Astyanax mexicanus: one gene and its partner. The protein of the gene in region 1 interacts with the protein of each later gene in a pairwise test. Links are inferred from orthologs where the notes say so. Each region holds a gene or a part of one and is shown on either strand. Other genes may lie near its edges. The genes, in order: trim9 and evlb.

Region 1 (9,844 bases):
TAAGCGATTAATTACCCAGTAATCCCTCCACAGACGCAGAGGCACCAGAGAGAAGCACGCGCACCACACTCACATGGCTCTCACCAAGCCCTCACACACTATAACACACACACACACACACACACACATACAGGCACCATCTCTCCACCAACAACACGCACCGTCCACCCACATACACTCACTAAATCGTTTCAACTTACTCATGTCCCAATCACACACATACAAACTCACGTTCCTCACAGACATTTCAATACGCCCCCACACCTGCCTTTTACAGATCTGAATTCACTGATGAAACGCACACACACACACACACACATACACACTCTAGAAGCTTCCTCAGTGAGCTCTGCATGTTTCAAGCTGTTGCTGATGCGAGCCAGAACTCTCTTTCTCCTCTCTAGTCCATAAAGATGTCTGCACTCACATAATTACAGCATTCAGAGGCCAGCGCTCTTACAATTTCTCTGCTGGCAGTTACACTGTCTGTACCACACACACACAAACACACACACTGTCCTCAGAATCACTCCCTATTACAGGAATAGTGCTCTATATAATGTATGTGTCCTTATGTCCTTGATATATTCCAAATATATTCTAAAGTCTGTAAACACTCTGTATAATATATTCACTGGCCAAAAGTCTGTCAATCAGTGTGTCAATTAATCATGAAGTGCTGCCGTAGAGGACAGCTCGAGAAAAGCCCACACCTGGGTAAATAGTGAGGTGTTTTCTTGTATGTGAGCTTGAACACTGGCCAGCAAGCTCATAGCAAAGCAACGTGAATTATCAGTGTTTAAAAAGACCTGACCCGCGCAAACAAACAAGCAACTCTGGCAAAAATCACATCCACATTTAATCCAAGAGACCCACATGACCTACAGGTCAATGCAGCATGACCCACTTTGACCTAGTTTACACGGGATATGACAAATGTCCTGGGACACAATACTAGCTCATGTCCCATGATGAAGTCAGCCACCGCCTGCTGCTAATGTACCATTGCGGAGTAACCAGTGCGCTCGGAGGAAAGTGCAGCGCCTCGGCTCCGAAACATCAGCTCACAGACGCCTTGTGCTGATCGACATCACCCTTTGGAGTGATGAGGGGAAACAGTGCCATCTACCCACCCAGAAAGAGCAAGGCCAATTGTGCTCTCTCAGGGCTCCAGCAGCTGATGGCAAGCTGCATGACCGGGATTTGAACCAGCGATCTTCCAATCATGTCCCATGATATTTGGCATGTCTGGTACCTTTGACAAGTTGTACTGTTTCTATTTATCATAAATTTAGCGTTTACACATTTAAAAGTGTAGAAGCTGTATGTAAATTATGCCTAAAAATCAATGTAAAAAACTAATATATATATATCACTGACATGCCAGAAGTCATGGGATAGCACTATGTAAATTAATCATGAAGTGATCATATAAACTAAGCTTTGATGGTCAAGGTAGTTGAAAAGTAAAAAAGTAAACAGTAAAAAACATGCCCATTTTTCTGTTTGCATGGATAATTCTAGCAAGGCGCCACTGGTCACGATCATTACCAGCCACTGTGCTGTCCCCTGTGGGTGCTAATTATATGATGTACATATTTCTGCTACACATGTGACACTATATGTGTTAAAAAAAAATGTGGCACTTTGCCAACAGCACACAGACATGAGCGTTTCCAAGCCATCCCCCGAGGTAACACTTCATGATCAATTTACATCTGGCTATTCCATGACTTCTGGCATGTCAGTGTATATACTGTATATGTCACAGAATTTGCAAGTTACCTGTGTGTTTGTATGTGTGTGTGTTGTGGCTACCTAATCACACTGCCTCCTACCAAACTCCACCACCCGATGGGTGGACCCTTAAAATGCCAGCATGTCGTTCTGTTTGAGTGAAGGCTATTTCTCTCTTTGCTGCTCTCTCGTTCTGCACTCAGCCAGGTTACCCTGGAAACACGGCTGAAGGCAGGAACAATGGGACAAAGTAAAGCTGCACTCATCAGGATCCAGCGCTCCAGAGAAGAGAAAACACTCTAACTCAGCACTGTTGACATTTCTGGCCCACAGACAACAAACTGAACTCTCATACAGTATCTCACCATTACAGCATTAACACCTACAGATAGTGTGCAGCACTCGTCCTCAGCGCTTACGCCTCACACCTCACATACACATTACGCACACTTAAGCCTGCTATTAACTCACAGTACTCTCCGTAACCCATAATACTGCATGTGCATAGTGCTCTTCAGTAGGAATTTGTCAGACAAAAGTGCCCTGCTTAATAAAGGGGCTACTACAGTATGCTGCTGTACTCTCAGCTCCTTTATTCACCTTTAAAAAAAACTCCTGCCTTAAAGCACATTCTTTTATTTCTTCTCATTCCCTTCATATTCACGTCATACACTGCATTCATAATACCAAAACTAACCACAAAGTTACACTGAAGAGTTCATTTGCAAAAACACATAAAGGTCTATTTAAAGAAGAGCACTTATCTGTTTTTGCAAATTAACTCTTCAGATGTTCCTTGTTTCTTGTCAGCATTCCAGTGCATACACTGGCCTTATATTTAGGTAAATCATTTTATGTCATTTATATATGACAGTTTATGTATGCATTTTTTTTCTTTGCGAATTTGGCTCAGGAAGTGTATTTAATGCACTCAATATTCTGACCGTAATTGGGTTTCTCCAGTTATGTAAGTTATTGTTTATTTTTCATTTGCACAACATGTCAGGACATTCCTGCACTAGAATGTTTATGCTAATTATTATATACATGTAAACAGCACACTTTGATTTTTTTTTTTTAGAATGCATTAAGGCCTAGGCCACTACCTGCTAGTGAGCTACCACATCATGTGGGAGACTGGGGTTCAATTCCCAGTCTGGGTGACTATGCCGCGCTACACCAATAAGAGTCCTTGGGCAAGACTCCTAACACTACATTAGTCCACATCTGTGATAGGAATAATCCTTATTTGGACAATAGAGACACACTCTAACCTTGGATAGGTTACTTTTTATTAAATTATTTGATAAAAAAAAGTTTGTTTACTGGAACTGTACTTAATTCAACTTCACAATTTTGTGTTATATCAATTGCTATGGTCAAGCAAATAAAACAGATGGAAAAAAGCTAGTTGCAAGTCTAATTCAAACTAATTGTAATTGTACAATGAAAAGTTAGGGTAAAGTTATTTAAGATTTAGAATTTTATAGGTGAGTGTACATCAGCATCATCATGAAGATCAACATGTCCAGTTCCACTGTGGATTTATATGTTTGGAATTAAAAGTGTACATAGAGCTTTTTGACATTGTAGGCCTGTAACAAATCAGTACGGTGGCCGAGAAAGCCCAGCGCAGTGCAAATTGAAAAGCGCTGCAAAAGCACAAAACACATTCATCAAAATTACAACACAGGCGCAGCAAATAGAAAAACGCGCTGCAAAAAGAAAAACGCGCTGCAAATAGAAAAACGCGCTGCAAATAGAACCACAACACAACGGAAGTGAGTCACAACACAACAGAATTTTCCCGGGGGACCTTAAAAGATGCTGTACCAGCTGTATACAAAGGACAATAAGTGGCAAACAAGCTTCTGAAAAGTAAGTTATGTTTATTACCTGTGATTACCACGGTTGTGTGCATATTATTAAAAGTTCTGCTTCACAAAACGCCTTGTTTGCCACTTATTGTCCTTTGTACACATAGTGAAGTCCGAGACGTTACTGAAGACGCAGCTTAGCTGGTACAGTATCTTTTAAGGTCCCCCGGGAAAATTCCGTTGTGTTGTGACTCACTTCCGTTGTGTTGTGGTTCTATTTGCAGCGCGTTTTTCTAGTTGCAGCGCGTTTTTCTATTTGCTGCGCCTGTGTTGTAATTTTGATGGATGTGTTTTGTGCTTTTGCAGCGCTTTTCAATTTGCACTGCGTTGGGCTTTCTCGGCCACCGTAAATCAGAGAGTAGAAAACAACTGCCAAACTAATTAGCCACCAGAAACTTCCAGGAACTGAGAAGACCTGCAGAAAAGGGCCCTGCGGATGTGTCACACTAGATGTAAATGCCATTTTAAAATTATAATTGAATCCATGCACCTCACCCAACCATCTGTTATGCAAATTCCTTAATAAGCAATGTCACCAGTAAAGCTTCATGGAGTAGCTGAAATTTAACCTGGGTGCCCTTCACATTTTGCCTCCTCAAGACTCAGCAGAATAAAACTGAGGAACTCTGTAGAGTCAGTAACAGCAGACACACATATTAAACACTCCAAATAAACTGCCAGTCACATTATCTCACTTGTCTTCTTGCAGCTGCAAACCAATTTCTTTCTCCAGTATAAAACACACTTTTCCAGAGTTAGGGGGCATAATGATCCATGCTAATTTTAAAATACTGTTCACAAGCTTTCCTTGTACTTCTAATCTGTGTGTCTTTAGTGTGCTTATCCCTAATGTTTTATATTCACATCAGTACACATCTCCAGCATTCTGGAGATCCTGCTTTTGTGGAGTAAACATTTCTACTGTCCAGGGACGACTTTCCACCAGATATTGCATTAATGAGATCAGGATGCTGAATTGTCACCACTCTCATTCTCATCCTCATCTTCCCAACTCACCTCAGTACTGAAATGAGTGTCATTATTCCAGAGAACACTGTTCCACTGATCAATACTAGTGAGATTTATACATCTTCACTCCATGCCTGACATTAAACAATAGGTTCCTGTTTATCTGCTCCAGAGAGAGCTATTTTATTACCAATACATCTCTATGGAAACTATAGAAATGCTTTGTGTGTGCATTTCATTGTAATCTCAAGTATCTCAAGATTCGTCGATTTTAGTTTTCTATATAATTTTTTTGAACACACAAACTGATGAATGGACCAATAGATTTGATGAATGGACCAATAGAAATAATCCAAAATTACCTTAAATAATCTCTTTGACTTCCATAAAAAGTTAAGAAGGTTTTATCTCTCTCCTGTAAAGTTGCTGTTTTGGAGATACATGTGTTTCATTGGACAGTTACGGTTCCCACATATGTCAGCAATAGATGCACAAATTTCCTTTACTTTTTGTGCTATGTTTATAGTTGAAAGTACCATATATTGATGTCCTGCTGTGCATGTACTCACTGTTTTTTATAGCTTTTAAATACTTACTATTGTTTTGTATTACTGTTCTGTATTGTGTAATTACTGGCTACTGGCTGCTAAATTACCATCTGAATCAATAAAGTATCTATGTATGAATCTATCTATGTATCTGTCCTACTGAAGAAGTGTTAGATAGATAGGAAAGATTTGGGACACAGCATCGGGAGTGCAGGGGCTGCAGAATACCTCCTCACCTAATTCGCTTTATGGTCACGTCTTGAGTCGTCGTGTCTTTTTTTAAGTGCTGTGTGATGTCTCGGTAGGAGTTTAGTTTTTTTGTCTGGACGCCGGCCACAGCTTGCTGCTTGCTGTTTGGCTAAGCCGTTGAATATGGCAGCTGCCTTGACCAATATCTGCTTACTGTGGGCTTTAGTTAGTGATGTAAAGCGCATCCTCCGCGGTCGGTGATTGGTCGAGGCTGTGGTCCCGCCCCTGCAGTATAAATCTCCCCTCCTCCGGGTCTGTGCGCTCATTCCGAGGAGAGGGGGCTGCGCGCGGACGGAGGGGAGATTTACAGCCGGGGTCTGTAGCGCTTGTTTTGTTTTTCTTTACATTCCCGGTTTTTTCCCACCGTTTTGGAGCCACTATGGAGGAGATGGAGGAAGAGCTGAAGTGTCCGGTGTGCGGCTCGTTTTTCCGCGAGCCCATCATCCTGCCCTGCTCGCACAATATCTGCTTGGCGTGCGCGCGGAACATCCTGGTGCAGACGCCGGACGCAGACTCGCCACAGAGCGCGCGCGCCTCCGGCTCCGCCGCGTCCGACTACGACTACCTGGACCTGGACAAGATGAGCCTGTACAGCGAGGCGGACAGCGGCTACGGCTCTTACGGTGGCTTCGCGAGCGCGCCCACCACGCCGTGCCCCAAGTCCCCGAACGGGGTGCGCGTCTTTCCGCCGGCCCCACCGCCCCCCCAGCAGTCCCAGCAGCAGCACCTGCTGCCCCCGCCGACCGCGTCCGGCGCGCCCCCTCCACCTCCCCACCCTCACCCTCATCCCACCGCCATGATGATGATGATGATCCCCCGAAACGCCTGCCTCACCTGCCCGCAGTGCCACCGCAGCCTGACGCTGGACGACCGCGGCCTGCGCGGCTTCCCCAAGAACCGCGTGCTGGAGGCGGTGGTGGAGCGCTACCAGCAGAGCAAGGCGGCGGCGCTGCGCTGCCAGCTGTGCGAGAAGACCCCGCGCGAGGCCACCGTGCTGTGCGAGCAGTGCGACGTCTTCTACTGCGACGCGTGCCGAGTGCGCTGCCACCCGCCCCGCGGCCCGCTCGCCAAGCACCGGCTCGTGCCACCCGCGCAGGGGCGCATCAGCCGCCGCGCGAGCCCGCGCAAGACCTCCACATGCACGGAGCACGAGCTGGAGAACCTCAGCATGTACTGTGTGCAGTGCAAGATGCCCGTGTGCTACCAGTGCCTGGAGGAGGGGAGGCACTCCGCGCACGAGGTCAAAGCGCTCGGGGCGATGTGGAAACTGCACAAGGTGAGGAGGGGAAGGAAAAGCTGTGTGCACTTGTGCGTGTGCGCAGAATAATGAGGAACACCTCCAATTAGGTCTACTATAAGCATATCTACAGGTTGTAATCTGTATGTTATCCTGGAAAATGTATTTTGTTCCAAAGATAACCAATGTTCGACCTTTTATGGGTAGCCAGACAGTTTTATTCATGAGTTCCATGTTGGAACCATATGTGGATATGAGTGATGGGACCAGAAACAGGGGTTCCATTTGTGTTGTACACTTCGTATGATGTCTAGTAGGATGTTAATAAAATTAATGTTCTAATGTAAATTTCAAAATGGGATAATCAAGATTGCATAATTTACATATAAGATAATATATTAGACTTTGTTGTCCCCAATGGGGACATTATCCTTGAAAAAAAAAATACACACAACACTCTATACAACATCACATATTTACATATCAGAAATATTGCATAAACCCTTGACCTTGCTACTATTTGCATATTTTACACATTCCCTCTGACCCAACACAGACTGTGCTACACAACCCTAGACCTTACTTATATTGCACATTTTATCAAACAAAACCATGAGCGGTATTGCACATTACCTATGCTTTTTACTTAAGAGCTTTATAGAAACTGGCACAAATGAATTCCTATATCTATTGAGCTGGCATCTTGGCATCCTGTACCTTCTGCCTGAGGGGAGGAGTTGGTATTCATGGTGAAGCACATGAGATGGATCAGCCACTATTTTCTAAACTGTCAGTGTGAATCTCAGTAGATAGATGTGCTTCTGTCAGAAATCTATAAAAACTCTTTTATTTGGCAGTGGTTTTCTTTACATGTTTAATTAACTGAAATTAACATGTAATAAACCATGTTTATTACAAAAGCTGCAGGCAGGTTTAAAGGGGGCTGTTTACAGATCACTTTTTTTCAAATAAAAAATAGAAGTTGTTATGTAACAACTAAAATCGTTGTTGGGAATAACTTGATGAATATCAAGATTTTTACAATATGGCCCAGCCTCACCTTCAAGATTTAAGTTGGTTGTTATGGTCCTTATTTGCAAAGCTCTACTGGGTAACAGCACATTCAGTGCTCATGCCCACTCGGAGCCTACCTAGACCACACTGCACCCATGCGAGTCCAACATTAGCGTGTTCCAGTATAGTCAGTCTGTGTCATTAGATAGTAAGAGTTAGAGTTAAGAGTGATTCACCAGCTTCAAATATGTAGCTAATAGTTGGTTTGCAGTCAGGAACTGTCTCAGGGGTCAATTAGAAAATCTGTCACCCTGCAGGTAGGTTAAGGATTGGTGATATCTTCTGATCAAGATAATAAAGATCTTCAGTAGCATCTGAATATTGGAGCCAAGCAGATAGATTTAAACACTCCATGCTGATAGATGTCCACTCCTGGGATAGAAGGAGGTCACTAACATTAATTTATCACAGCAGTAGATCTTTGGTTCTAACTTTTTCTAACTTGTACTCACTCCAGCTATGCCGAGCTGCAATGTTGCAATAAATTGAAAAATCCATGCCAAATCTGGTAGCCATATTGCTTCTGGCTGAGGAAACTTTTCGAATGCATTCTGTAAAGAACCATCTATGACTCAGCAGTGCACTAAAGCCATGTGGGAATGATTGGATTGAATTTAAATTAAATAGAAGTGTTGTTAGGAGTGTAACAGTGCAGACTGGAGGTGTCCTCAGATTGAAGAGAACCTCACTAAAGGCAAAATATTCTTGATTTTCTCCTTTTGGTTTTATCCTAGTGGTTTCCGGTTTTGGTCTTGGAGTATACCCTATCTGAAAGTTCATATTCAAAAAGTTTTAAAAGAGAATCAATATTTGGTGGATTAACCCTGGTTTTTAATCACAGTTTTCATGCATCTTGGCATGTTCCCCTCCAGCAGTCATGCACACTGCTTTCGTAAAACTTCATGCAACTCCTGGTGCAAAAATTCAATCAGTTCAGCTTGGTTTGATGGCTTGTGATCATCCATCTTCCTTTTGATTGTATTCCAGAGGTTTTTAAATTGGTAAAATCAAAGAAACTCATATATACCCTCATATGTACCCTATCTGCAAGTTTGGTCTGTAAGGCTATGTTCAGACTGTAGGCAAATCAAATCAGAAATGCTGAGATGACTGTCTGCACTATTTATGTGTAATTGATGAGATCAGATATGCCTGTCTGGATATAACATATCTGCATGGGTTGCTGTTGTAATGATGTTGGCATCAGTAAATAATCTTTGGCATTCTTCTTGGACCCGCACACTTACGTTACTCTGGATTTGATAAGGCTGTTGTTTATTGTGTTGTGAATGACCCGAAAAATAAATGTTAAAATGCAATCTGAGCATATAGAGCATCCACACCGAGTTACATCTGTACAAGTCTGATTGTAATTGCACAAACCCAAAAGTAATTGCGCAATCTAGATTTGCAGATTTGTAAGTAGATTTGGGCTGGCAGTCTGAACATAGCCTAACACCAACTTCTACTAACCAGCTAATCTCCAATAAATATGCCACTGTTAATACATTTGTTGTGCAGAAGCATTGTAAAAGTAGTGAAAACACAAAAATCTGCAGAGCAGGGGTACTTAAGCAAGAGCACTGAGAAGCACTAGCCATGTTTATCAGAGACTGGGCTATAGAAGGTAATTTGTCCCTGTCAGGTTCTGAAATAGGGGTTTCACTCACTGAGCAGAATTCCTCTACCCCATCAAGAACCCTGTCAAGACAACAGCTATGAGTCTGTGATTGTTGGTCAGTAATGTACTGCAGTGGGACTGCATTCAGAGTGTTGACCGTTTAATAAGTTGTGACAGGAATATGCCAGTGAAGAGCCAAGACGGCGGGAATGTTCATGTTAAAATTCAGAGCACGAGCGAAACGGAGCTCGCCGTGATTCAGACCCAATAAAACAGAGCGGATAGGGGGGAGAAAGCTGTTATCTGGGTGAACAAAACATCTCTGATCATTGCACTGTAGATGCTGTGATTGATGTAGAAGACTTAATTCAGAGAGCACACTTCAGAGTGTGAAGGAAGTGTTGCTTGGGCCCAATCCCATGTTACCCCGTGCCCTTATCACTTAGCCCCAATGTCCCGATTCTTGTTGGGATAGAGGGGGAGGTGTTATGGCTCCATTTAAATGGAGATTTTTTAGACGTGCATTCCAAAA
Region 2 (10,116 bases), on another chromosome or scaffold:
GTGGTCAAATTAACATAGGAGCTGTTGTCACACAGTACTGTTGTCTAAGTGCAAAATTATCTGAACCCATACCCATTTTGTACCACTGCTGGAACATTTGTAATAACCGCAAGATCACACCATCCACTGTCTGCAGGGGTTAACTGAGCATGCTGCAATAGAATGCAACAAGCTAATAAAGGCATTAATTATGGCTGGTGCACATACAAATCTATCTGCCTTATCTTTATTTAAGGACAGAAAACAGGGAGACGCTCAGTGTGACCAACGTCTCTAGGTGAAATCTGATCACAGCTGGTTTCAGGAGCACATTTAGGACCAGAGTTCACACCAAGGTTAATTTCGTCTGGTTAGTTTTGGTTTCATGCTGTAGTTCAAAGAGTGGACTAAAGAACTTTACTATGTCCTTTCATCATCATCTACATGGGCTTCATCTCTCTGTACATCATATTAATGGACCAAAATTCTGAACCATTTAGAGCAGTGGTTTTCAACCTGTGGGACTTACATCCACACCCCAAATGCCAAATGTGACAGATATTTAGTTTAATTATTTGCTAAGCAAAACATGTTTAGGTCATTTTATGTCATGGTTTAGCGTAGTACAGTCACATGACAGGCATAGACAGCTAGTAGGTTAACAAGCCTAACAAGGGTCTTTGACATCTACAAGTGAAGCAGCCACTGTTTCTCTGACTGAAAGAACAAAAAAAGCAGTTGAAAATACAGCAGTTATTTCCAAAAATGTAAAAAAAAACAGTTGATGTTTGTGATGTTTTTGGTTTTTAAAGGTAAATAAAATATTCTGGTGGGCTGTGGAAAGTATTGTGGAGGGTTAAGTTGGCTGTGACTTGCAAATAGTTGGTAATGCCTGATCTAGAAAAGTGTTTATTACACTGCAGACGAACCAGACAATGGTTTAGTAGATGTGGACAAAGATCACCTTTTTTGGCCAAACTGAAAACGAAACAACTGCTATTGCATTTGGGAAATTAATTGTATAGGTGTGAAAAAAAGCTTTAGAGCTAAATTCAGAACCTTTTTAACTTGTATAGCAGAGCAAAAGTCCATCAGATAACTGTCTGACTGCACTGCTGTAGTCACTCCTTACAGTCTGACCTTGGGGAGGCGGCGCTGAACCTGAACAGATATCAGATTCAGAGACAGCTGTCAGCCTCCATCTCTCTCTCTATCTCTTGCTCCCTCTCTCTCTTTCATTCATCTCTCTTGCTGGTTCATCTTCCTTCCTTTTTTATCCATTTTTCTATGCATTCTTGTGTCTTTAGGCTGTTCTTTCTCATTTTTCTCTCCTTTGCGTCATTCGTCTTTTCACACTCTCCCTCCTCCAGTAAAACTGAATTAGGTTTGATGGCTCTGCTTCTGCTTCATTCATATGCTTATTTAATTACTCATCTCTGCCTCAATCTGTTCATCTGTGTTTCTCCCCCCTTTAATTTCACTCTCAGTAGTGCTGCTCTGTATCCAGTGTGATCGGGTGCGAGTCTAACAGAAGGCTGAGCTCCTCTGTATTGCGCTAATGGCTGTACAGTTACAGTAGACACTCTTGGCTGAGCTCAAATGGAGGTGTTCCCCTTTAAGGATTAGAATGCAATCTGCAGTCAGGCAGGAACCTGCTGGAGAGAGAGAGAGAGAGAGAGTGGTGGGGATGGTGCTGGGGGGAGGGGCTGCATGTACCTTTGTCTAAACAGCCTCTACAATATTTCCATATCTATACATCTACCTACCTGTTTGTGTTGATGGCTGACTGTATATAATGTATGATTAGTGTTATGATTAGGGTTTTCGGAACCTAGCTGAACACTCCACTTCCTGGTTCTCAGGGATTTGTATGTTCTCTTCCTGTCCACTCTTAACAAACAGAAAATCACACGTATAAATAATGATACATTAAATAATAATACAGTAAAGAAATTGGAAGCATTAATCGCTATTTCTAATAGTCTGTTATTGCTGAAAAGGTACACAAGTAGTGATTCATTCATTTTTTAGATTCAGTAACAGGTCTTTAGCATGTCTGAAGCTAGTCTTTTCTTTTAATGCTGATGTCACTTCGCTTTCAACAAGCAGTTTTTGCTTGTAACAAGCAGTTGCCAGTCAGTAAATGTATTATTTTAATTCTAACAAATCTTTCAGCTCTTCATTTGATTTCTTATAAAAATCAATTAATTTTTATTTTGTGAAAAATGCTAGTTTGTCCCATTAAAGCTATAATATCGTTTACATGACTTTGCTAATATAAAAATATACTTAATAGCTCAAGTGCATTCCTTTTCCTTGCAGTTAACTGTTGCTTAATGGTAACTATGGTATTCCTGGTGGTTTTCATGGTGTTGCTAGCTGGTTGGAAGGCGATTAATGTGGTATTCCAGATGGTTGCTGTGGTGTTTCTAAGATGTTGCTTTGGTGTAGCTAATTAAATGCTATAGTATCTTTGGTGGTGTTTCTAAGAGGTTGCTATGATGTAGCTAAATTAAGGCTATGGTATACCAGGTGGTTGCTGTCGTGTTCTTAAGATGCTGCTATGGTGTAGCTAAATTAAGGCTATGGTATACCAGGTGGTTGCTGTGGTGTTTCTAAGAGGTTGCTATGGTGTGGATAACTAAATGCTATGGCGTCCAAGGTGGTGGCACTGGTATTACTAAGAGGTTGTTATGGTGTAGCCACCTGAATGCTTCAGTATCGCAGGTGGTTGCAGTGGTGTTTTTAAGTGGTAGGTGATACCTGGTGTATCAGGTGGTTGCTATAGTATTTCTAACACAAGATGGGTTCTTTAGTTAGGTATGATTATTGCTGTAGGATTTCAGCTGCTAGGATGTTGACTTTGTGGTTGCTAGGTGGTTACAAGGCGGTTGCTATGGTTTCCCAAGTTGTTCTCACAGGTAATGTGCTGTGAGTTTCTGTATTGATTTTTAGGTAATAAAAGTGCATTTGTATCACTGTAACTTTTTCACCCTGTATGCATCACACAATTAGAATGAAAATCTGGAGTTGAAATCTCAAAACCGGCCAAGTTATGCCACAAACATCTCAGATAAAAATTATCAAAATGGAAAACAGATGAATAACTATATATTTTTGCAGTGCTTTGCAATGTGCAACCATAAAAATGTATAGAAGAATCAGTATGTTTTAGATCATAAGCCAAGTTAAGTCATAATCTGTAACTTGTGTTACTTCTATGATAACTTGGGTCTAGAATATAGCTGTTTTAGAATGTAAGCGTACATTAATTACTGTTAAAGTATGATACGTGTGAGCATATTAGATTCCTTTTCCAGCAATAAGTATCATTACTAAATGCATGTGTTGACCTGGTAATAACATCAGAGAGACGCGATTAAATGGACTGGAGATCAGAATGTATGCCTTTGTTCCTGGATCTAATTTAATTTATGTAATTTAATCAGTGTGTAGGCTTTCTGAGTTAATGAACTACATATAGGCTACAGGTCTGCTAGAGGCCTATTGATTGTTATGGATTTAATAGGAGGTTCACTGGCAGCTGCTGCTCTTATTGAGAAAGACATTTTTCATTTTATCCGCACATTATGGATGAAATACCTTACTGCTTTTTACGAAGTACACATAGACTTAGAGATATTATGTTTCTATTGTTATTTTTTTATTGCAGTAGTATTTTCTGGATATTAACAAAATATTTTCAATGTTTTCTTTCATGTTGACAAGAATAAATCAAAAATATCCTGAAATACTGTGACATTTCTAGAGCCATATTGCCCACTGCTATAGCACATGTAGTATACCTCATACAGAGTACTGCTTAAAATATGAAGGTCATCTTTTAAAATTTGATAAAACGTTAGATAATCATGATATAACATTTTAATATCAGCTTATACTCACCTCACAGTATTTTCTGTAACATTTTTGTAATATATGATTTTTATTTTTAGATTCCTAAATTTGATTCTAGGATGTAAACTGATAAATAACTGATGATGTAATACTTAAAAAGACTACAGAAAAGACTGCAGATCAGTCACAACATTTGTTTTTGCTTAAGTCTTGCAGATACCTTTTGGGACTGAATCAGAGAAAAAACGATTTGGTATGATTGTATAAAATTACATAAAGCTTTGTGATAGGATTACACAATCTAGTGCAACACATCAGAAAATAATACAAACAGAACCTTCTGAATAAGCAGAAGACAGGACATGGCCTCTACTCTGTGCTGTACACTGCAATCACAGGAAAGCACTACCTATGCTCTTACACTTCACAAATGCATCATAGGTAATGACCATATTAAACAACATAAAGCTGTGCAGACTAGACTGTATCAGCAGCAGCTCTGTAAATTGTTTCTGAGGTCAGTAAGTGTGACAGACCGTACTGGACTTTCTGTCATTATTTACTGCATGGACACTTTGGCATTAATAGTTTCTTCTGAAATCAAGGTTATTAAAAAACAAGTTTATCCTGCTTTTGTTGGAGTAACTGTCAGTATTGTCCAGAGAATACTTTTTGCTAGATTGTAAATCATTACTGTAAGAACCTGATTGCCATTCCAGACAGCACAGTTCAACTTCTTCATAGCTCAATGCTATGAATTATATCCCTCTAGCCGACGCCTGGCAGCAGGCATGTTGCCTAAAGGTTCATGTTCCTCAGGACTCTCTTCTTCAGAGAGTCCTATTCTATTCTATTCTATTCTATTCTATTCTACACTGCCTGGCTGAAAAAAAAGGTCACAAACTCTAATATTTCATTGGAGCGTCTTTAGGTCTGATAGAGGGACGCATTCACTGTGGCATTGTTTCGATAAGCTTCTGCAATGTAACAAGATGTATGGTAGAGTCTGACCGCTGCACAAAGCCTTCACCAGCACATCCCAAAGATTTTCAATGGGGTTAAAGTTTGGAGTCTGTGGTGAACAATTCGTGTGTGAAAATGATGATCTCATGCTCCCTGAATCATTTTTTTTCACAATTCCAGACCCATGAATCCTGACATTGTCCTCTTGGAATATGCCCGTGTCATCAGGGAAGAAAAAATCCATTGATGGAATAACCTGGTCTATATTCAGTATATTCAGGTAGTCAGCTGACCTCATTCTTTCAGCACATATTGTTGCTAAAACCCAGACCTGACCAACTGCAGCATCAACCCCACATCATTTACTTACTTCAATCCAAGCAGAATAAAAAATTCTGGTGTGAAAACACCCTTAAATCAGCTGAATGCATTCATTAGAAGGTGTGTCCACAAACATTTGTACATATAGAAGCAGATTCCCAGATATAATTTTAGCCTAGTCTTGGGCTACACAGCAACGGAAAGCCTAACACTAGTCTTAATCCCTGGCTGGGAAACTGACATATAGTGTATGTGTACATGTACTACACTACATGTTCGAAATATAATCGGAATTCATAATAATAGGAATTCATGTGAGATCAAAATGTTCAAACATGTTAAGTGACAACTGGGGTTTAAATGGCCCAGTCAGAATGAAAGACAGATTGTATGGAACGTTATAGTATCCCCATCACTGGGAGGGTGATGGAAGATCCTCCTGTCGCTTTAATTCTTCACTTGATCTTGATCTTGATCAAAAAGCCACAAATGCCCTTTATTAATTAACAGTCACAACCACACCCCTCCCCACTGTCCACACTGGTTTAACATTAGAGCTGACTACTCCCTAACACAGAGAGCGAGGAGGAATGGAGTGAGGAAGGGAGAGGGAGAACTGAGGAATGAATAGATGGAGGGAGAGAAGAAGAGAGAGAGAGAGAGGGAAAGAGGAGGAGCCAGCAGCATTGGCATTGAGGGGGAGGGGGGCTCCTGGCCTATGGGGCTAGCCGACCATCTCTCATGTCACAGCTGGAAGGGGAGGAGGAGGAGGAGAGAAGGATAGAGGAAGGGAGGGATGGAGAGATGTAGGGTTGGGGGAGGGAGCTGGTAATCCACTAGATGAAACGAGAAAGAGAGAGAGTCAGTGCGAGGGTGATGCCTCATAGCGAGCATCATAATTTCATTCAACCGAGAAGAGCACTCTATCTCTCTCTCTCTCTCTCTCTCTTTCTCTCTCTCATTCTCTCTCTCTTTCCACTACTCACTCATTAATGTGCTCCTCCAGTGCGGCGCTCTTCGTCTGCTCTGATTGACTGAGGATGAGATTACAGCTCTTTTTCTTTTTAAAGCTTATCACAGTTAATTTGATTTTCATTTTTTCCTCTTTTTGACTATTGACTCTGCCGAGCTCTTCAAGGATTGGGGTTTTAGAAAGAAGCTAGGAGTGTGTGAAAGAGTGCTGTGTGTGATGGACGTTGGCCTTTCTGCAACTCCTTTCTGCTTTGGACAAGGTGGCTGAGATGCTTCTGCTGTTTCAGTTACTGAACCATTAACGTTAAGATCTACTACAAGGGTAGTGAGAACGGAAGAGGGGGAGGGGATCCTGACACCCACCGAGCAAACGAGCGAGTGAACGAGACGGCCGGTCAGAAGGTAGAGGAGAAAGAGGAAAGAGCAACCTGTTCCTCTCTGCTATGACCTGAAGCGATGGATATTAACCTCCAGTCACACCGCTTCTACTTCCCCCAGATCTACTGTGATGCTGGCGCTCAGGTCACCGAGTATAAGATCAGGTAGGTTTCAGTGGCAGCTGCCCGCTGTCCTCTGTGGCTGCTCGGAGGTGTGGAGCGGAATTCTAATTGAGCGGCTTTTATGAGAATGAGGAGGTTTGGAGGATGCTTGATTTACAGTCTCTGCTGGAGCTTGCCAGGCTGCGGCTAGCGCCGACACAGATGCTCTTAATGCAATTGAAGTGTAAGACTGTGGCTCTTTTGTTTTCCCTGTGTCTCGCTCTGTCTTTCTCGCCTTCTGCAGGCTGTTGGTGAAGGTGATTCCTCCGAGGCCTCGTGAAGCTGCATCAGCAGTACAGTTAGAGCAGAATACTCTTGAGTTCTAGCTGTATAACTTCAAAGGTCTGCATTCTCAGTCTACATTCAATAGTGTAGGATGGTGCTGCTGACCTTCTGAGCTTGAATCAGCACTTTCTAACACAGGTTTCTAAAGAAAGAGCATCTTTGAGATGCAGGGGAGCATCACTTTTATTGGTTGCTCAGGTACCGTTCAAAAGAACTGATGCACATGACACAGTGTACAACAAACCTGTAGGGAGCACCGCTGGGGCTGTTTGTACATGGGATAGCAGTATGTAAATTGATCGTTACCTGTTACCTGAGGGGGTAACTTGGGAAAAGACACATTTGTATAAATTTAAAATTCTTATTTTGAGATTGAGGTTGAACACATGGACTGTTTGAGTTTTGTTAGCTGGTTGGGACATTCCATTTCTTTGCACTGGCATTTAATATTCCTAAATCCACAGGGTCACATGCAGACTGGAAATACATCATAGATGGCATTACCATCCACAGTGCACAGTGCAGTAGATGGTAATAACTGTGGCCAATCTGCAGCATTTGATTAGAATTGTCTGTGTAAACAGTTAACCAACTGGAAATAATCACATCCCTATTCAGTGCAGATGGCCCACTCACTCACTTCCACTAGACATGGCAATGGCAAAAAATAATGGGACACAATACTAAGTCCTGTCTCATGACTTTTGGCAAACATACAGCTCTGGAAAAAAATAAGAGACCACTTAGAAATTATGAGTTTCTTTGATTTAACCAAATTAAAAACATCTGGAATATAATCAAGAGGAAGATGGATTATCACAAGCCATCCTACCAAGCTGAACTGCTTGAATTTTTGCACCAGGAGTGGCATAAAGTTATCTAAAAGCAGCGTGTAAGACTGGTGGAGGAGATGCATTAAAAACTGTCATTAAAAAACAGGGTTATTCCACCAATATTGATTTCTGAACTTTTAAAACTTTTATGAATATGAATTATTTGAGGTCTGAAAGCTCTGCATCTTTTTTATCCGCCATTTCTCATTTTCTGCAAATAAATTCTCTAAATGACAATATTCTTATTTGGAATTTGGGATTTTTCCTTCTTTTCCCCAATTTTTAGATTTTTTTTTTGTCACAACACTGTTACTAATCACAGTAATAAAATATGGTGAGTTTTACTACATTTCCAGAACCTGCTCTCTTCAGTTCTGAGTTAAACAGTTTGTTTTTCGACTGGGATCAGGGCCTAGCGTTCTCAGTAACCCTGTGCTTTCATCGCCAACCTGACTTTATCTGTCCATTTCTCCACTCATCCATCGTTTCAGATTTCATCTCGCCCTCTAATCTCTTGCCTCTCGGCAGGACCCATCCATTTTTTCTCCCAATCGCACGATTAGAGCCGATTTAAAGACCCGGGCCGGGTATTTTTGGTCCTAATCAGATTTTATTTCTGCGATGGCTCAATCCTTCCTGCTGGACTGTAGAAGAAGAAAAAAAACTCAAGCCTCACCACTGGATTTTGAGTTTGGCACGGTCGCCTGCATGCTCCTCCAGAATGTGTTTGACTCACATTCAGAGTGTGTTTTCTCTGGTTTGGGAGATAATCGCTGTGTGTGTTTGACTTGGACGTAGAGCTGGTGGTTGTTCCTGCAGAGCAAGGATTGTATTACCGGCTATAAATCCATACCCTGTCCTGCAGGAATCAGGGCCAGAGAAGAGATTTTATTTGCTATCCATAGGGATTTGTCACATATTGTTTTAGTAAAGAGATGTTTCACCAACTCCAACCTCACAGAGACCTGTAGAATAAGAAGCAGGGTGGAAAATTACTGACTGAAAAACAAGTCACTATTAATGACCCATGAAGAAAAGCAGTGTGTCTGCTTTGGATGGAGGTTGTCAGATAGTTTGTCCTGTCACTTTTATAGGAATATCAATTCTTCTTTCTGTTTGCACTATAATGAGTGAACATCAGCCAGACCACAGTGTAGGGGCTTTTAGCAGTGGAGCTGGGTCACACATATTTACTGTGGTGTGGCTGTTGGGTTTTGTGGTGTGGATTTTCTGGCTGTTTACAGTTCACTGCTCTAGGGCTAAGTGTGCTGGTGCTATTAATGCTGGTGGTAATGCTGGTCAGCTGGATTGAGTGGAACAGTGAGTTCATGGCATCAGATCCAGGCTACAGACAGACACTGTGGCCTACTGTACAATCAATAATGAGGTTATTGGTACAGAAAATGGGGTTGGACATAAGAGACAATAAGAGATGGACAGAACAAATGCACTGTATGAGTTGAATGATCACCTGGATGAGTTGAATTTTACTAAAAATAATTTAAGGAACCTGAGTTAATTAAACTTAAAACCTGATGAATTGGATGGAATTTAGACTGAACAGTTTTTTATTTGCTTTATTACTAGGGGTGTAATGGTACAAACCGTCATGGTATTTGGGTCACGGTTCGGTTTGTGCAAACGCATGCAGAATACATGGTGCAGGTAGTCTATAGGAGACTTGTGGAACCAATGAACGTAATGCGTGACTAATGTTCACACAAGTGTTGCCCGCAGAAAGTGTAGCTGTAGCACTGTTGCTATTAGCAACTCGCCACTGACTTAGCCTAAACAAAATGCATAGCTCTATTGTAATACAGGAAATGTTGTTGAGTGAACAATATAGCACACAGCCAATACAGAGTTATTAGCTCAGAAAATTATACGTTTGCTTTTATCAAGGCTAAGCTCATCATAATATATGACCTACAAGTTTTCTTAAGGTAGCCTGGGGAGAATGACTACACACTGACGGTAAGTGCCAGTGACTCAAAGAAAAACAGTATGCAAATAGATCGAAAAAAAGTTGTCAAGGGCTATAGGCTAAACTCAGTTATTATAAGCTGATTTAACTCAAAAGATCCCATTTGAATCCCATATAAAACAACCACTCAATTAGTGGAGTAGATATAAAACTTCATTTTATTGTTTTAAATCGATCATTTTAGTTACGCAAAGTGTTTTAAAGTAATATACTGACCCTGAGAGGTGAGCTACCCCGAAACTGTGTGGTGAGGACCTGTGATTACAGCTGCCTTTGGACTGCACAGACTCAACTTGTAGACTCAACTAATATGGTGGATTCCACTCTGCTGTCTCATGTGTCCTTCGGATATCTTCTGCGTTAAAGCCAGTGTCTTCTTTCA

The links.
Region 2: the proteins of trim9 (region 1) and evlb interact in binary tests that used the Homo sapiens proteins (3 or more experiments, as listed by UniProt). The two-hybrid records come from large-scale screens. The link is inferred for Astyanax mexicanus from reciprocal best matches to the Homo sapiens genes TRIM9 and EVL.

Annotation. Positions count from the first base shown.
Region 1 is NC_064414.1:38,991,621-39,001,464, forward strand, and holds the start of trim9 (E3 ubiquitin-protein ligase TRIM9), read left to right. Parts: upstream 1-5,631; 5' UTR 5,632-5,759; coding exon 5,760-6,656; intron 6,657-9,844. UniProt on the Homo sapiens protein: E3 ubiquitin-protein ligase which ubiquitinates itself in cooperation with an E2 enzyme UBE2D2/UBC4 and serves as a targeting signal for proteasomal degradation.
Region 2 is NC_064408.1:73,271,725-73,281,840, forward strand, and holds the start of evlb (enah/Vasp-like b), read left to right. Parts: upstream 1-5,992; 5' UTR 5,993-6,549; coding exon 6,550-6,635; intron 6,636-10,116. UniProt on the Homo sapiens protein: Ena/VASP proteins are actin-associated proteins involved in a range of processes dependent on cytoskeleton remodeling and cell polarity such as axon guidance and lamellipodial and filopodial dynamics in migrating cells.